3 linked regions of the Drosophila melanogaster genome follow. The protein of the gene in region 1 purifies or fractionates together with the protein of each later gene. This does not show direct contact. Each region holds a gene or a part of one and is shown in the gene's direction. Other genes may lie near its edges.

Region 1 (3,708 bases):
TGGTTGGCCCGCCGGGTACTGGCAAAACACTGCTGGCCCGTGCCGTCGCCGGTGAAGCCAAAGTTCCTTTCTTCCATGCTGCCGGACCGGAGTTCGACGAGGTGCTCGTAGGCCAAGGAGCCAGACGAGTGCGTGATCTGTTCAGTAAGTAGATTTCAATTATCCAAAGTGCTCAACTAAACAAGAACATCATCTTGCAGAGGCAGCAAAGGCCCGTGCCCCTTGTGTTATCTTCATTGACGAAATCGACTCGGTGGGCGCCAAGCGAACCAACTCTGTGCTGCATCCTTACGCCAATCAGACCATCAATCAGCTGCTCTCCGAGATGGATGGCTTCCATCAGAACGCTGGCGTCATTGTTTTGGGAGCCACCAATCGTCGCGACGATTTGGATCAGGCTCTGCTGCGTCCCGGCCGATTTGATGTAGAAGTCATGGTGTCGACGCCCGATTTCACTGGACGTAAGGAGATATTGTCTCTGTATCTGACGAAGATTTTGCACGATGAAATAGACTTGGACATGCTGGCGCGCGGCACCTCTGGTTTTACTGGAGCGGATCTGGAAAACATGATTAACCAAGCGGCGTTAAGGTAAGGAATAACTTGTGTTGTATTATTCAATCACAATTTTGAAGAGCGGTACTAATAATTCTAACATTTTGGCAGAGCTGCCATCGATGGAGCCGAAACGGTCAGCATGAAGCATTTGGAAACGGCACGAGACAAAGTACTTATGGGACCCGAGCGCAAGGCTCGTCTACCGGACGAGGAGGCCAACACCATAACCGCTTACCACGAGGGCGGCCACGCGATTGTGGCCTTCTACACCAAGGAGTCGCATCCGCTGCACAAGGTGACCATCATGCCCCGCGGACCCTCCCTTGGACACACCGCCTACATACCGGAGAAGGAGCGTTACCATGTCACAAAGGCACAGCTGCTGGCCATGATGGACACCATGATGGGCGGTCGTGCTGCTGAGGAACTGGTCTTCGGCACGGACAAGATTACGTCGGGAGCCAGCAGTGATCTCAAGCAGGCAACCTCGATCGCGACGCATATGGTCAGGGACTGGGGCATGTCGGACAAGGTCGGTCTTCGCACCATCGAGGCGTCAAAGGGTCTGGGCACCGGTGACACCCTTGGTCCCAACACCATTGAAGCCGTGGACGCGGAGATCAAGCGCATCCTCAGCGACAGCTACGAGCGGGCGAAGGCTATCCTGCGAAAACACACCAGGGAGCACAAAGCGCTTGCGGAGGCGCTTCTCAAGTACGAGACTCTTGACGCCGACGACATCAAGGCAATACTGAATGAAAGCCAGACGTAGTTCCCCCATCGGTGTGGTTTGATGGTGTTCAAGGATCCAATTGGAAGGCCGGGTTGGTCTGCCACCGGACATTCAGCTGAACTGCTAAATATTTTTAGTTACAATATACATATATAAAAAACCGGAGAAAAAAACCAAGCAAGAGCGAGACGCAGACGGACAGTTAAGAAATAAAATGTTACACATATTCAGTTATGTTTTCCATCATTCACGTTAGAATTAAATATTAGTTTGAGTAATAAATTAATTTGAAGTGGAATCCACATATTGTTTGCGCGCCCATATCGATGTGACCAGACTACTGCAACCTATGTTAGAAACCATTTTCTAGAACTTAAGTTATAAATATATTTTCAATGTTAAAGACATAATTAACAAATATAGTTTTGATCACATTTTTTGTGGAATCCATTCCATGCTCATCCATTTTAGTATTTTTCATTGTATATTTGACGTTTGCGGTATATTTGAACAGCTGCGTCGCGGTCACACTTTCTAGCTGTCGAATTTCCAATTCATGTTTTATTTTTTGCCGAATAAATTGAGATAATATTCTGAGAAAATGTGCGACTACAAGGTCTCGGAGCGGGCGTACGCCAAGTTGATATTCCACGCGGCCAAGTATCCACACCAGGCGGTCAACGGACTCTTGCTGGCCGAGAAGACATCGAAGGGCTCCCAAGTGGAAATCGTGGATGCGATTCCGCTTTTCCACCAGTGCCTGTATGTCACCCCCATGGCGGAGGTGGCCCTCATGCTGGTAATTACCAATTGCCCTTCCTAAACTCACATCACGAGGGGCTCGGTGCATTTGTGTCCGGACAGCAATGTGGTGCGCCCCATAATGGAACTATTATGGCTTCAATTTGTATCTAGATCCTCGCACCCTGGCCAAACACTCCGCTATCCAAAAGATATATAACTATTCTAACTTATTGCGGCTGCATAGTTATCCAGTGTTGTGCTTAGAACAGAAAGGTTTATGTTCCAAGCGATCTTTATTTAGTAAAATGTACCTTGTACCCCACGATGGTATTTTAATATTAGCATATCAAATTCAAAAACTAGTGTCACACCACTTTTACCCTGTTAGAAGTTTATTACCCAAATTAAACTAGCAGTCTTAAAGCATTGAAGTTGTGAAGACTGAATTAAATTTAAAAGCCGATAAGGTTGTACCATTGTTTAAATTAAAACATTTTATAAAATAACGATAATAATACATTACCTTACACTTTCAGATCGATGCCCACGCCGAACGGGAAGGATTAGTAATCGCAGGCTACTACGCAGCACCGGAGAACTTCTACGACAACCAGGTCGACAAGACCCCAGCCGCCAAGATAGCTGACAAGATCCAGGAGAACTTCAAGAACGCCTGCTTTGTGGTGGTGGACAACAAACTGATGACGCTGCAGCACGACCGAGCCGCCATCCAGGTATTCAACTGTCCCGGAGACTCTGGAGCAAGGTGGTCAAAGGCCAAGTTTACGCTCTCACAGGCGTCCGATACATTGGAAGGCGTGTCGCTGCTGCTGAAGCGCGGAGCCATGCGGGATTTGGTTGACTTTGACAACCATCTAGATAATCCGGACAAAAACTGGACCAACGACTTCCTGAATCAGCCGCTCAACGATCTGCAGAAACTGTACTAGTCGTCCGTTTCAAACGTACGTTTTTTTTTTAGTCTAGCAAAATCGCATTCGAGGGAACATGCCGGAATTTCAACCTTGCAATTTAATTTATTGTAATTACATTTGGATTTCAGTAATCTTTAGAATAATGCATATAAGTTAAATAACATTCAACTAATTAATAAATAATCAATTCTTTCATCATGTTTTGAGTCAAATGTTGTCTGCAGTCCGAGTCCGTCTGTTGGTGCACCTATTGTAATATCCTTTTTAAGTCCGGTCCGGTCCGGTTCTGTTCTGTTTATTGTGTTGAGTAAACCTAAGCGCGTTACAATTATCGTTAATAAATACAGATGAATAATATGTATATAATTTTGCTTTTGGTTTGTCTGGCTTGTAAATTGAAATATTTTACAATAATATTGTAATATCGCGATTGCTGATTATACATAGGTATACATAATACGTACTTATGTGGATATATCGGAGATCGAAAGTATCGCAAAAACGTTTATTTATATAATTTCAGTGTATTGTATATTTTCATATTATCTGATCGAACGCATAACGAACTCTTTACACCGTACACTAAACGTATAGGGGACCGGGACTACGAATCACTGATCACGGATCTCTGATCACCAACGGGATGCCATCCTGAGCACCTTACTCGTATTTGATTTGCCAGTTATATGCTATATGCTTCTGTAGTTCTGTGTATAAGGAGTATGCTTTGGGCTTGTA
Region 2 (6,625 bases), on another chromosome or scaffold:
CAATTCCCTTTCAATAACCTGTGTGTAGAGATTATCAAGCGTTTCCTGCATTCGTTGTTTGAGTGTGGCATTCTGAATGGAAGCAATTTCCGTTGACTTTTGCACCTGCTGCGCTTTCAGTTCACGAATCTGGCGCGTCAGTTGATTGATCTTCTGCTGGACCTGTTGCTGCGTGTACTGCGGCTGCGGTTCGTCTATGAATTCCATGTTCTCGAACTCCTCGCGCTTGGCTAGCATTTGGCTATCGTAGAAGCCACTGGGAGCAGCAAGGTTGGAGCTTGATCCGGCGGCGCTGAGCTTAGGACTGCTGGCTTCATGCCCAAACATAGACTTGCTGAACACGTTCTGCTCCATTTTCACTACGCCCGCTCCAGTATTACTGCCACTAGCGCCAAAGAAGTCCGACATTCGTGAATCATCAGCCGAGAGTCGTGAGGATTCCTCCATCACCCGCCGCTGCATGGTGTTATTGCCCCGATCGGGCTCATCCTCGTCATCCGTGCTGGACACTTCCTCGCCGAAGATGTCGTGGACAGCAACTCCCATGTTCGGCGCCCGGTGTGAGGGAAAGTTGCTGGCTTCGTCATCATCGGACTCCACTTGGAGGTGCCGCTGGGAGCTCATTTCCATGATCGTCTTTTCGCTGGCATGCATGGTGCTTTCGTCCTGCAAATCGTCATCCGCATCGTTGTAGGGTTTGATGTCCGATTGCTCCAGTTCATCCATTGGCTTGTCCTCTTCGTTTATGATTTCATAGTCAACTCTGACAGCCTCGTTGTCAATGCGCAGCAGATGTTTCACTTCCTTCTCAATCTCGGGAGCTTCGACATTCTTTTTCTTCAGAGTTTTGCGGAATCGTCGTTTTCTCACATTCTTGCACGGCGGTGTGATGCCGTGCGGAAAGAGGTATTTTTTGTCCACCTTGTTGGGGTCCTTCTTTTTGTTCTTGTTGGGCGACTCCTTTTCCGTCTCGTCCTCCCGCTCCTCCTTGCAAATGAGTATTTGGCAGATGTCTGCCGACTTGTAGAAGCTCTTGTTGTCAATGGTCTTGTAGCTCTCGACGACGGTGGGCAAATCCACGAGTTTCGTGTACAGTATCTGATCATCTATTCGCACTTCACCGTACCTCAGATCCGGATCCAGTTGGATGGTCAGCCGGTCCTTAATGGTGCCAGCATTTATTGCCTCATGGACCGTGTCCGCCAGTTCCTGCGGAGAATCCGTCAATTTGCACGGCTTGTTGTGATGTTTGTTTGTGCTATGTATGGCTTACCTTCGGCACGCGCATGATAAACTGGCTCTCCAGCTCTACGCCATCATCCCGGGCCTTGTGCTCCGCTTGCTTAACCTTGTCGCTCTTCTTTTCAAACATTTCAATGCGATTTTTCCAGAAAAATACAACTTCTTTTGAAGACACTAAATGCTCATTAGAGATGGGAGTTAGATGGGGCACCGCTAGTGATGGCATTCACGTCACAGTTATCGCTGCGAGCACGACGAATATTTAAAATGGTTCACACTGCAGCCGCATCTGCAGAAATATAAGCCCTGTATACCGCAAAATGGCAAGGCATTTTATTTTTTAATCTTTTTACCAACAAATTTAATCATAAAGGTGAAGACCGAATGGGTTTGCCGTACGTTGAAAGGGGATGAGCCGCACTGCTTTGAATATCGGATGTGAGTCCGCTGAACTATCGATAAGGCAATCGTCAGCCAACCCTGCTCCAATTTCGTCTTCTCATCCCTTTTGCCATGACGGAAAACACGAATTGATGTGGATTTCTACTAATTTATAACATAAAAATACGTCAAAAGTTGAACAATCAGAGATCGAGCTAGTCGAAGGTCAGCAAGCAAGGCGGACGACATGCAGGAGAAGTGGTTACTGCCCGCACTTTCGCTGGCGCTCCTATTGGGCACCTGCTCGGCGCTCTACGAAGACCAGATCAAAAAGTTCGACTGGTGAGTGTGGTACGATATCTGACCATTGACCCGGCGCTAATACGGCGGATATGTGCGGCTTTTGCAGGCGAGGCGTCAATGTGGGAGCACTGAAGCAGTCTCGCGTCGACCTCAACCATTTTCAGCCGCGGATTCTGGTCACCACCTATGAGGGAGTGGTGGCCAGTCTGTGCGTAAAGACCGGCGAATTGGTGTGGCGGCAGGTGCTCGAGCAGAAGCCGCGCGGCGACGTCAAGCTGCTCCAGGTGAGCGGATTCGCCGATGACAGCAGCGACACGGCCGCCGCTCCGATGGGCAGCAACATGGGCTTCGACATGCTCACCGTTCAGGGACACGCTCCTGCTTTGGTGCGCGGCTGGAACACCAATATGGGTGCCCTTGAGTGGGAGTGGTCCATCATGCCCATGAACACGGAGCGGGCCCAGGACGCCATGTGGATCTACAGCAAATCCGTGCTATATCACGTGCTGCCTGCCTGGCGGAGCCACCTCGAGGTGACGGCGTATTTCGCCAGCTCGGGCCACAGCACTGGCAGCACCAGCAAGGTAATAGCTCCTTGGATCACCTCAGAGAGCTGCACCCTTAGCGGCACCTTCTACGTTTGTACGGACGGAAAGCAGTTGATTAGTTTGGATCTCGTTTCCAAAAGCGGTCAAGTAATCCGTACTTCGCTCGAGGCGGAGCCGAAGGGAAAAACTCAGGCCTTGACGGTGAGGAAAAAACTTTGCTATTGCTTTTATTGAAAGTGAAGTAATAGATTGTTGTAAGTGAAGTTATAATTCGTCCAAACATTTCTATAGGGTCTGAATGGTGTTGTGATTGTGGATGGGAAGCCAATTAGTGTCAACAAGGACCAATCGATCTGCGGTGATCTGCGAAGCTCCAGCTTCGCCGTGGGCAGCTTTAACTATCGCAAAGTCTTGGCCTATGCAGATCTGTCCTCTGGAGTACGTTTAAACTTATATTTACTGTTCTATTCTACTATTTCTATGTGAAAACTAATTGTTTCTTTCCCTGTGCGTATGAACAGATCCTCAGGATCAATGCTCTGTATTTGGATAACTGTGCACCGGCAGCGGAGTTGGAGCAGAGTCTGCCATTCCCCGAGCATTTTGGCACTCCGTCGCTGAGCAACTTCGACTGTAAGCAGAAGCGCAATGGCGAGGGCAAGAACTGTCTGTTTTTGTTTAGCAGCACCTCGGAGTCCATCGTGGCAGTGCAGCATGGACGCGTTCGTTGGTCGCGCGAGGAGTCGCTGGCAAATGTGATCGACTCGCAGTTTGTGGATCTACCGCTTGCCGATACTGAGGGCACATTGGAGAACGAGATGAAGGGCAAGGCCGGTGAGTGTACTTGACTTATGCACTACTTTAAGGTGAACTCATAAAATTTATTATTGAAAATTCATACCAAAAGGGGATTTCACAAGTTTTGAGAGTAAGTGAACGTTCACAGCAAACTAATCATGCAATATTGTTTGTTACATGTTTATCACTTTTAATTTTGTGTTTTTTTTTTTAATGTTTATTGAACGTACCACTAATCTAAAAACGAATGTTTACTAACAAATTCAAGCATGCTTCGCTAGTTTAAAGCTAAGTGTATTACTTTTACTTTTTTACTGTCCAATAATTAATTTCCAATGTAAACTAAAATATGAAATATCTTTGGTATATCGTTAATGTTTAAAGATCATATTAAATTGTTCTTTACTAATATTTATGTTTTCACCACGTAAACAGGAGACATTGCCAGTGCCTTTTTGCGTCGCATCACCACTCAAGCTGTTCAGATTCGGAGCTTGTTCCTTCATGTTATCGGACTGGGTCCTCCACCTACAGACACCCAGCGAGCCGGCTTGGTCAGAGACTCCTTTGGCCTCCACAAGATGCTGGTTTTACTGACGCGTGCTGGAAAGATTTTTGGCATTGACAATGTCTCTGGGAAACATCACTGGCAGCTGCATCTTCCCAATGTTATTGGATTCGCTAACGACGAACAGATGCGTCTGATTGTCCAGCGCTCGGCCAAACACTTTCCACTTCAGCCGTTGTGCACTATTTTGGGCAAGAATGCTGTAGGTCTGACTGACAAATCGCATAGTTCCCACGCTAATTCTAATCGTTTATAGGTCAGCGGCAATGGTGTGCTCTATCGTTTTAATCCTATTACCGGCAAAGTAGCCGAAGGTGGCCTTGTTCAGCTGGACTACAGAATTAAGCAGCTTTCGTTGCTGGGAGAAACGGAAAAGGACTTTCTGAAGGGCATTCTGTTACTGGATGCTTCGAATAAGGTACATGTTTATCCCGAACATGCGGCCCCACTGGTAAGATATAAAATTCTATGATATATCAATAGAGTTGAAAATCTTTACATGCACGTACAGGCTGATGGCATGTATCTGTACACCGCCGATTTGAAAACTGCAGAGCTGGCCGGCTACTTTGTTAAATATGCGGGCGGGGTAAGTAATGCAGCCTTTTAATATGAAAGCACTTAACTTATTAAACCATTTCCGTTAGCAACTGTCCAGCACGCACATCTGGAATGCTCGCCTGGGCGGCCACAATTCCGAGCAGCAGATTATCGGCGTTGCCGGCAAGAATCCCATCGAGCATGTCCACTCCCAGGGACGTGTGCTGGGCGATCGATCGGTGCTGTACAAGTACATCAACCCTAATCTAGTGGCTTTCGTCACACAGGCACCGGATTCCACACACAAATGTGAGTCTGCATGCGCTTCGTGTAATTAAGCATTCATTTAAATGGCACTTACTCCATAGCCGTGCTAAATTTGTATCTGGTTGATGTGGTCTCCGGCTCTGTGGTTTTCACCATGACGCATCGTAAGGTCCGTGCACCACTGAGCATTGTCCACTCCGAAAACTGGCTTGCCTACTCCTACTTCAACGAGAAATTGCGTCGCACAGAGATTAGTAAGTTACAACAGCGATAGCCATTGACAAGTACCTATATTTACTAAACTTTATTTACTTGCTACAGCCACAATCGAACTGTACGAGGGCAAGAGTCAGGCAAACAGCAGTGTTTGGAGTTCCTTGCAAGCTCCGCCAATGCCCCTCGTGGAGCGCCAGTCTTATATACTGCCCACAATAGTTGAGGCTCTGCGGGAAACTATCACGGAGCGCGGAATCACCAACAAGCATGTGCTTAGTGAGCATTAACGAAAGTAATTTGAACGCCAAATAGGATGCTAACCATTTGTCATTAATTCTAGTCGGCACTGCCAGTGGTTCCATTGTGGAAATGCCGTGGCATTTGCTGGATCCCCGACGTCCTATCGCATCCACGACTCAGGGACGTGAAGAAGGAGCCATCCCCTACATACCCGAGCTGCCTTTGCCAACAGAGAGCCACATAAATTACAACCAGACGGTTGCCCGTCTGCGTAATATTTACACCGCGCCCAGTGGCTTGGAGAGTACCTGTCTAGTCGTTGCTACGGGCTTAGGTAAGGGAGATTTATCAAACGCGATTTTGGTTAAAGCACTGTAAACCATTTTTATTTGACAGATTTGTTCGTTACGCGCGTGGCGCCATCAAAGACGTTCGACTTGCTGAAGGAGGACTTTGATTATATTCTCATTTCCATAGTGCTAGTCGCGCTCACATCAGGCTCGTTGATTGTTAAGCATTTAGCGTCGCGTAAATTGCTCAAGCAGGCGTGGAAATAGGCTTGGCATTATTATTAAATAATTGCTTTAAATATATATAAATTGTACTGCGACCAAATACCACAAGGGAGGATGGAATGATGATGAGAGAATGTAAATCGGCGAGATACTATTGATATATATAACAGAATTCTGATAGCTGCATTACATCCCACAATGCGAATAAAACCTTTTATCAACGCTAAGCCTAGGCAATTATTTATAACTAATTATATAGCGTTAAACATCAAATAACTATAATTAGCTGTTGAAAGGTTTTCATTGCATGTTCTGTTCCTTTGATTTGTGTTCGTTTAAATTTCCATTTGAAAATATCAGCATTGAAAGAGTGTTTAAAAAGTATAGTCAATAAAAGCATTTGTAAAGGTGGACAACGGTAAAGTAAATAAACAATTTTTTCATCAGAATTAACTGATTGTTGGGATTAATTAGGAGGTGGATTCAAAAAATTTTTGATAATTAAAACAAAAAATATAAATAATAAAAATACAATTAAATCAAAAATTCATAGCGTCTATTACCTGATTTATTTAGGACAATTTTTTTTAGAATTTCCTGTAAAGTATAAAAGGAATTATTATTATAATACTTATCTCAAAAATGAAGTAATTTTCACCGTCTTATAACATTGTAAGAAAGTTGTGGTTTTATAGCTTAATAAATTAAAAATACAAATAAAAAAATTTTTAAATGGGCGCCAAAAATCAGCTGAAAGCTTGTGTGTTTTCCAACACCGACCATCCAACTTTAACCGACTGAAACATATGTTTATTCTCTTCTTCTTCCGCAAAATTGAAAGGATGGCACTGCGTGTTTTTGGCTTAAATATAGTAAAAAATAACAGGAATCTGCTGCAAAATGCATGCAAATCCAGGGCACCGATGCCATGCTACATGGTTGGTACAATAGTCAAGTCAATAGACTTGACACTTTTCACTGTTCCCAATTGTGAGACCAAACGTTTG
Region 3 (3,262 bases), on another chromosome or scaffold:
TAGGCGAAATTGTTACAACGATACCTACCATTGGTAAGTATCTTATTAGCACCTTTAATGTATCTTGTCCAAATCTAATATCTAATGGTTGTCCCCCTAGGTTTCAATGTGGAGACTGTAGAATACAAGAATATTAGCTTTACAGTGTGGGATGTGGGTGGCCAAGACAAAATTCGTCCCCTGTGGAGGCACTACTTCCAGAATACACAAGTAAGTGTGATTTCAGCTTTTCCACAGATTCCAGAAAATTCTATATGATGTTAACAGCTTGTAATGATTATGCATTGTGATTATTCAAGTTTATTTTGTTTCAAGACGGGACTGACTATATTATCTTAGAGATCTATCTCCTACGATTCAAGCCAGGACAATTGGAATAAAGTTTTCATTTGAATCGTTACAGGGTCTTATCTTCGTCGTGGACAGCAATGACCGAGAGCGTATCGGTGAGGCGAGAGAGGAGTTGATGCGCATGCTGGCAGAGGACGAGCTGAGGGATGCAGTCTTACTAATCTTCGCAAACAAACAGGTAGGTCCAAGCAAAGGTTGTCGTTATCAGTAGCCAGTTGCTCGGTCCTTATATTGTCATACTAATATTGCACCTCGCTCTTTTCTGGGATCATTTTAGGATCTGCCAAATGCAATGAACGCGGCCGAAATCACCGACAAGCTCGGCTTGCACTCACTCAGAAACCGCAACTGGTACATCCAGGCGACGTGTGCAACTAGCGGTGATGGGCTGTACGAGGGACTCGACTGGCTGTCCAACCAATTGAAGAACGCTAATCGCTAATTAAACACTAAAATTAAAGCAACAATATGAATACAACTAACTCTGATTTCAAGCGAGCCGAAGCAGTTAACCAGCAACCAGAACCATAGAAAGAGCGGCTGAAGGACATCCAACATCCAGCGGTAAACGGTGGAAATCGACATCAGAAGGAATTTTCACAAAACAGCAGCAGCGGCACCAACACCAACAACAAGAGCAGCAGATCTTCGCATAACTTAAAGGGCTCCGCATGTCCGTATTTCCAAACAAGAAACTGAAATTGTTTATTGAATTGCAAAAACATAACCTTTCAAGCAGCATATAAAGAACGCTATAATATAATTTAAATTCGTATACATAATTATTGGATGTTTAAAAGCAAATCGAGTAAAAGAAAAGCCCAACCAATCACACAAGAAAGGAAACTATAGTATATGGTATAAAAATGTCTTTTTTAAGTTATTTTTGTCCTCTCCCTACCCCTCATCAAAATATATATTTCTTTTTAATTTTATAATATTAAAGTAATATTAATGAGAAAAAACTGTAATTGTAATTGCTCTTTAAAAATACAACAAATACCATTTTAATTTTTAACCCTTCTGTTTCTTGTTGTCGCTTGGTCACGCAAAATCCATTAAAAATCACGCATATATATAAGACCATATTAAAAAGGAAAGTACTACTTAAAAGGTAATTTGAAATAAAATTTAAATATTAATGAAAACTACTGCGCTGTTCGATTTTTGCACATGCGTTTCAAAAAGTCCGCGCAAAATCGTAACTGCCTATCGATACCCTGGTGCCATACACATCAGTTGCCTATCGAATTGTCTACACTACAATAATTTCGGAATTTAACGTTGAACAACACTCAGCGACCAATTGTCAGAAAAAATCGTCATTTTGTTTTATAAATTGGCAAAAGATTAAATAAAAGAAAGCACAGCATGTCCGCCAAGCAAAACCCAAAAAAGTTAAAGTGGGCGCTGGACTTTAACGGGAGGTAAGGATTGCTAGCCTGCGCGGTGACTCAAGTTCTTACCACTTTTGCTTTTTCCTGCAGCAAAAATGCTGATATTCCTTCGCCGCTGGGCTACAATCCATCTGCTTTGGTGAACCAGAGTGAAGTGGTGCGCGACCAGCGCCTGGTCATCAAGAAGTCGTGGGACCTTGCCCTGGGACCTCTTAAGAACGTGAGTAGCAGCCCTTTGGAAAGACCCGTGCTTAACCTTTGGATTCCCTCAGATTCCCATGAATCTATTCATCATGTACATGTCAGGAAACTCGATTTCCATTTTTCCCATCATGATGGTCGGCATGATGCTGATCCGGCCTATCAAGGCCATCTTCACCACCCAGGTGACTTCCAAAATGGCGGAGGGGGCCCAGGGAACTGGCCAGCGCATCGTCTACTTCCTGGGCAACCTAGCAAACGTGGCTTTGGCCCTCTACAAGTGCCAGAGCATGGGGCTCCTCCCCACCCACGCCTCCGATTGGTTGGCATTTGTCCAGCCTCAGACACGCCTGGAATATTACGGCGGAGGAATTTCGTTTGTCTAGTTTTACACATATAGATTCTCTTTATTTGATCATAGATAAATTGGTTTAAACTAAAATTGTGGTCTTATTCCGCCAGTCAGTCGTCTAGTATCTTCTTGGCCTCCTTTTTGATGTCATCCACTAGTTTCTCGCCGGGCGATCTGTTAAAGAAAATAGTAAAATAATTAAGATACAGAATGATAATATGATCTTATTTAGCATTGATTTCGTCATGGTTGCACCTGGCAACAAATTTTTATTCGGAAAAGCCATCATTCACCACAGTAGAAAGATATCATCACGACTTCGCACGCATTTTTTCAGCACTTTGTCCTATTTTCAGAATTTGTAAAACAAGCGCGTGGAAAGCTTAATATAAGATATCGAAAAAAAATCCAGGTTTAGTTGACAAGTTCGACTTATAAAATTTTTACAATTTTAATTACAAAGGCATTTGACAGAGTGTGGCTCGATGGACTTTTGTTTAAAATAATCAAGCTGTTGCCCCAAAACACACATAAGCTACTGAAGTCATACCTATATAACAGAGTGTTTGCAATAAGATGCGATACAAGCACTTCACGCGATTGCGCAATCGAAGCTGGAGTGCCGCAAGGCAGTGTACTGGGTCCAATCTTATACACCCTGTATACGGCGGATTTCCCCATAGACTACAATCTAACAACCTCCACGTTCGCTGATGATACCGCGATACTCAGTCGCTCGAAATGCCCAATAAAAGCCACGGCACTCCTATCCCGACACTTAACATCTGTAGAACGATGGCTTGCCGACTGGAGAATTTCAATAAATGTTCAAAAATGCAAGCAGGTTACCTTTACCTTAAACAAACAAACATGCCCACCACTGGTCTTGAATAACATATGCATTCCACAAGCCGACGAGGTAACATATCTGGGAGTTCATCTGGACAGGCGGCTCACTTGG

Evidence for each region.
Region 2: the proteins of EMC8-9 (region 1) and EMC1 purify together in Drosophila melanogaster (affinity purification with mass spectrometry, with the first as the bait; one large-scale study listed by BioGRID). This does not show direct contact.
Region 3: the proteins of EMC8-9 (region 1) and EMC4 purify together in Drosophila melanogaster (affinity purification with mass spectrometry, with the first as the bait; one large-scale study listed by BioGRID). This does not show direct contact.

What each region holds. Positions count from the first base shown.
Region 1 is NT_033778.4:22,880,784-22,884,491, reverse strand, and holds EMC8-9 (ER membrane protein complex subunit 8/9), read left to right. Parts: upstream 1-1,801; 5' UTR 1,802-1,892; coding exon 1,893-2,090; intron 2,091-2,571; coding exon 2,572-2,985; 3' UTR 2,986-3,170; downstream 3,171-3,708. Other genes in the region: YME1L (YME1 like ATPase), read left to right, coding at 1-144, 201-591, 667-1,330. UniProt on the Drosophila melanogaster protein: Part of the endoplasmic reticulum membrane protein complex (EMC) that enables the energy-independent insertion into endoplasmic reticulum membranes of newly synthesized multi-pass membrane proteins like rhodopsins.
Region 2 is NT_033777.3:7,902,468-7,909,092, reverse strand, and holds EMC1 (ER membrane protein complex subunit 1), read left to right. Parts: upstream 1-1,729; 5' UTR 1,730-1,870; coding exon 1,871-1,965; intron 1,966-2,032; coding exon 2,033-2,675; intron 2,676-2,765; coding exon 2,766-2,912; intron 2,913-2,995; coding exon 2,996-3,308; intron 3,309-3,381; coding exon 3,382-3,402; intron 3,403-3,707; coding exon 3,708-4,042; intron 4,043-4,096; coding exon 4,097-4,291; intron 4,292-4,351; coding exon 4,352-4,429; intron 4,430-4,487; coding exon 4,488-4,689; intron 4,690-4,748; coding exon 4,749-4,901; intron 4,902-4,968; coding exon 4,969-5,139; intron 5,140-5,203; coding exon 5,204-5,437; intron 5,438-5,499; coding exon 5,500-5,660; 3' UTR 5,661-6,063; downstream 6,064-6,625. Other genes in the region: Taf7 (TBP-associated factor 7), read right to left, coding at 1-1,209, 1,274-1,468; mRpS9 (mitochondrial ribosomal protein S9), read left to right, coding at 6,461-6,556.
Region 3 is NT_037436.4:22,866,613-22,869,874, reverse strand, and holds EMC4 (ER membrane protein complex subunit 4), read left to right. Parts: upstream 1-1,631; 5' UTR 1,632-1,722; coding exon 1,723-1,778; intron 1,779-1,838; coding exon 1,839-1,968; intron 1,969-2,020; coding exon 2,021-2,335; 3' UTR 2,336-2,411; coding exon of another isoform or gene 2,412-2,475; 3' UTR 2,476-2,700; downstream 2,701-3,262. Other genes in the region: Arf1 (ADP ribosylation factor 1), read left to right, coding at 1-33, 101-210, 404-529, 629-793.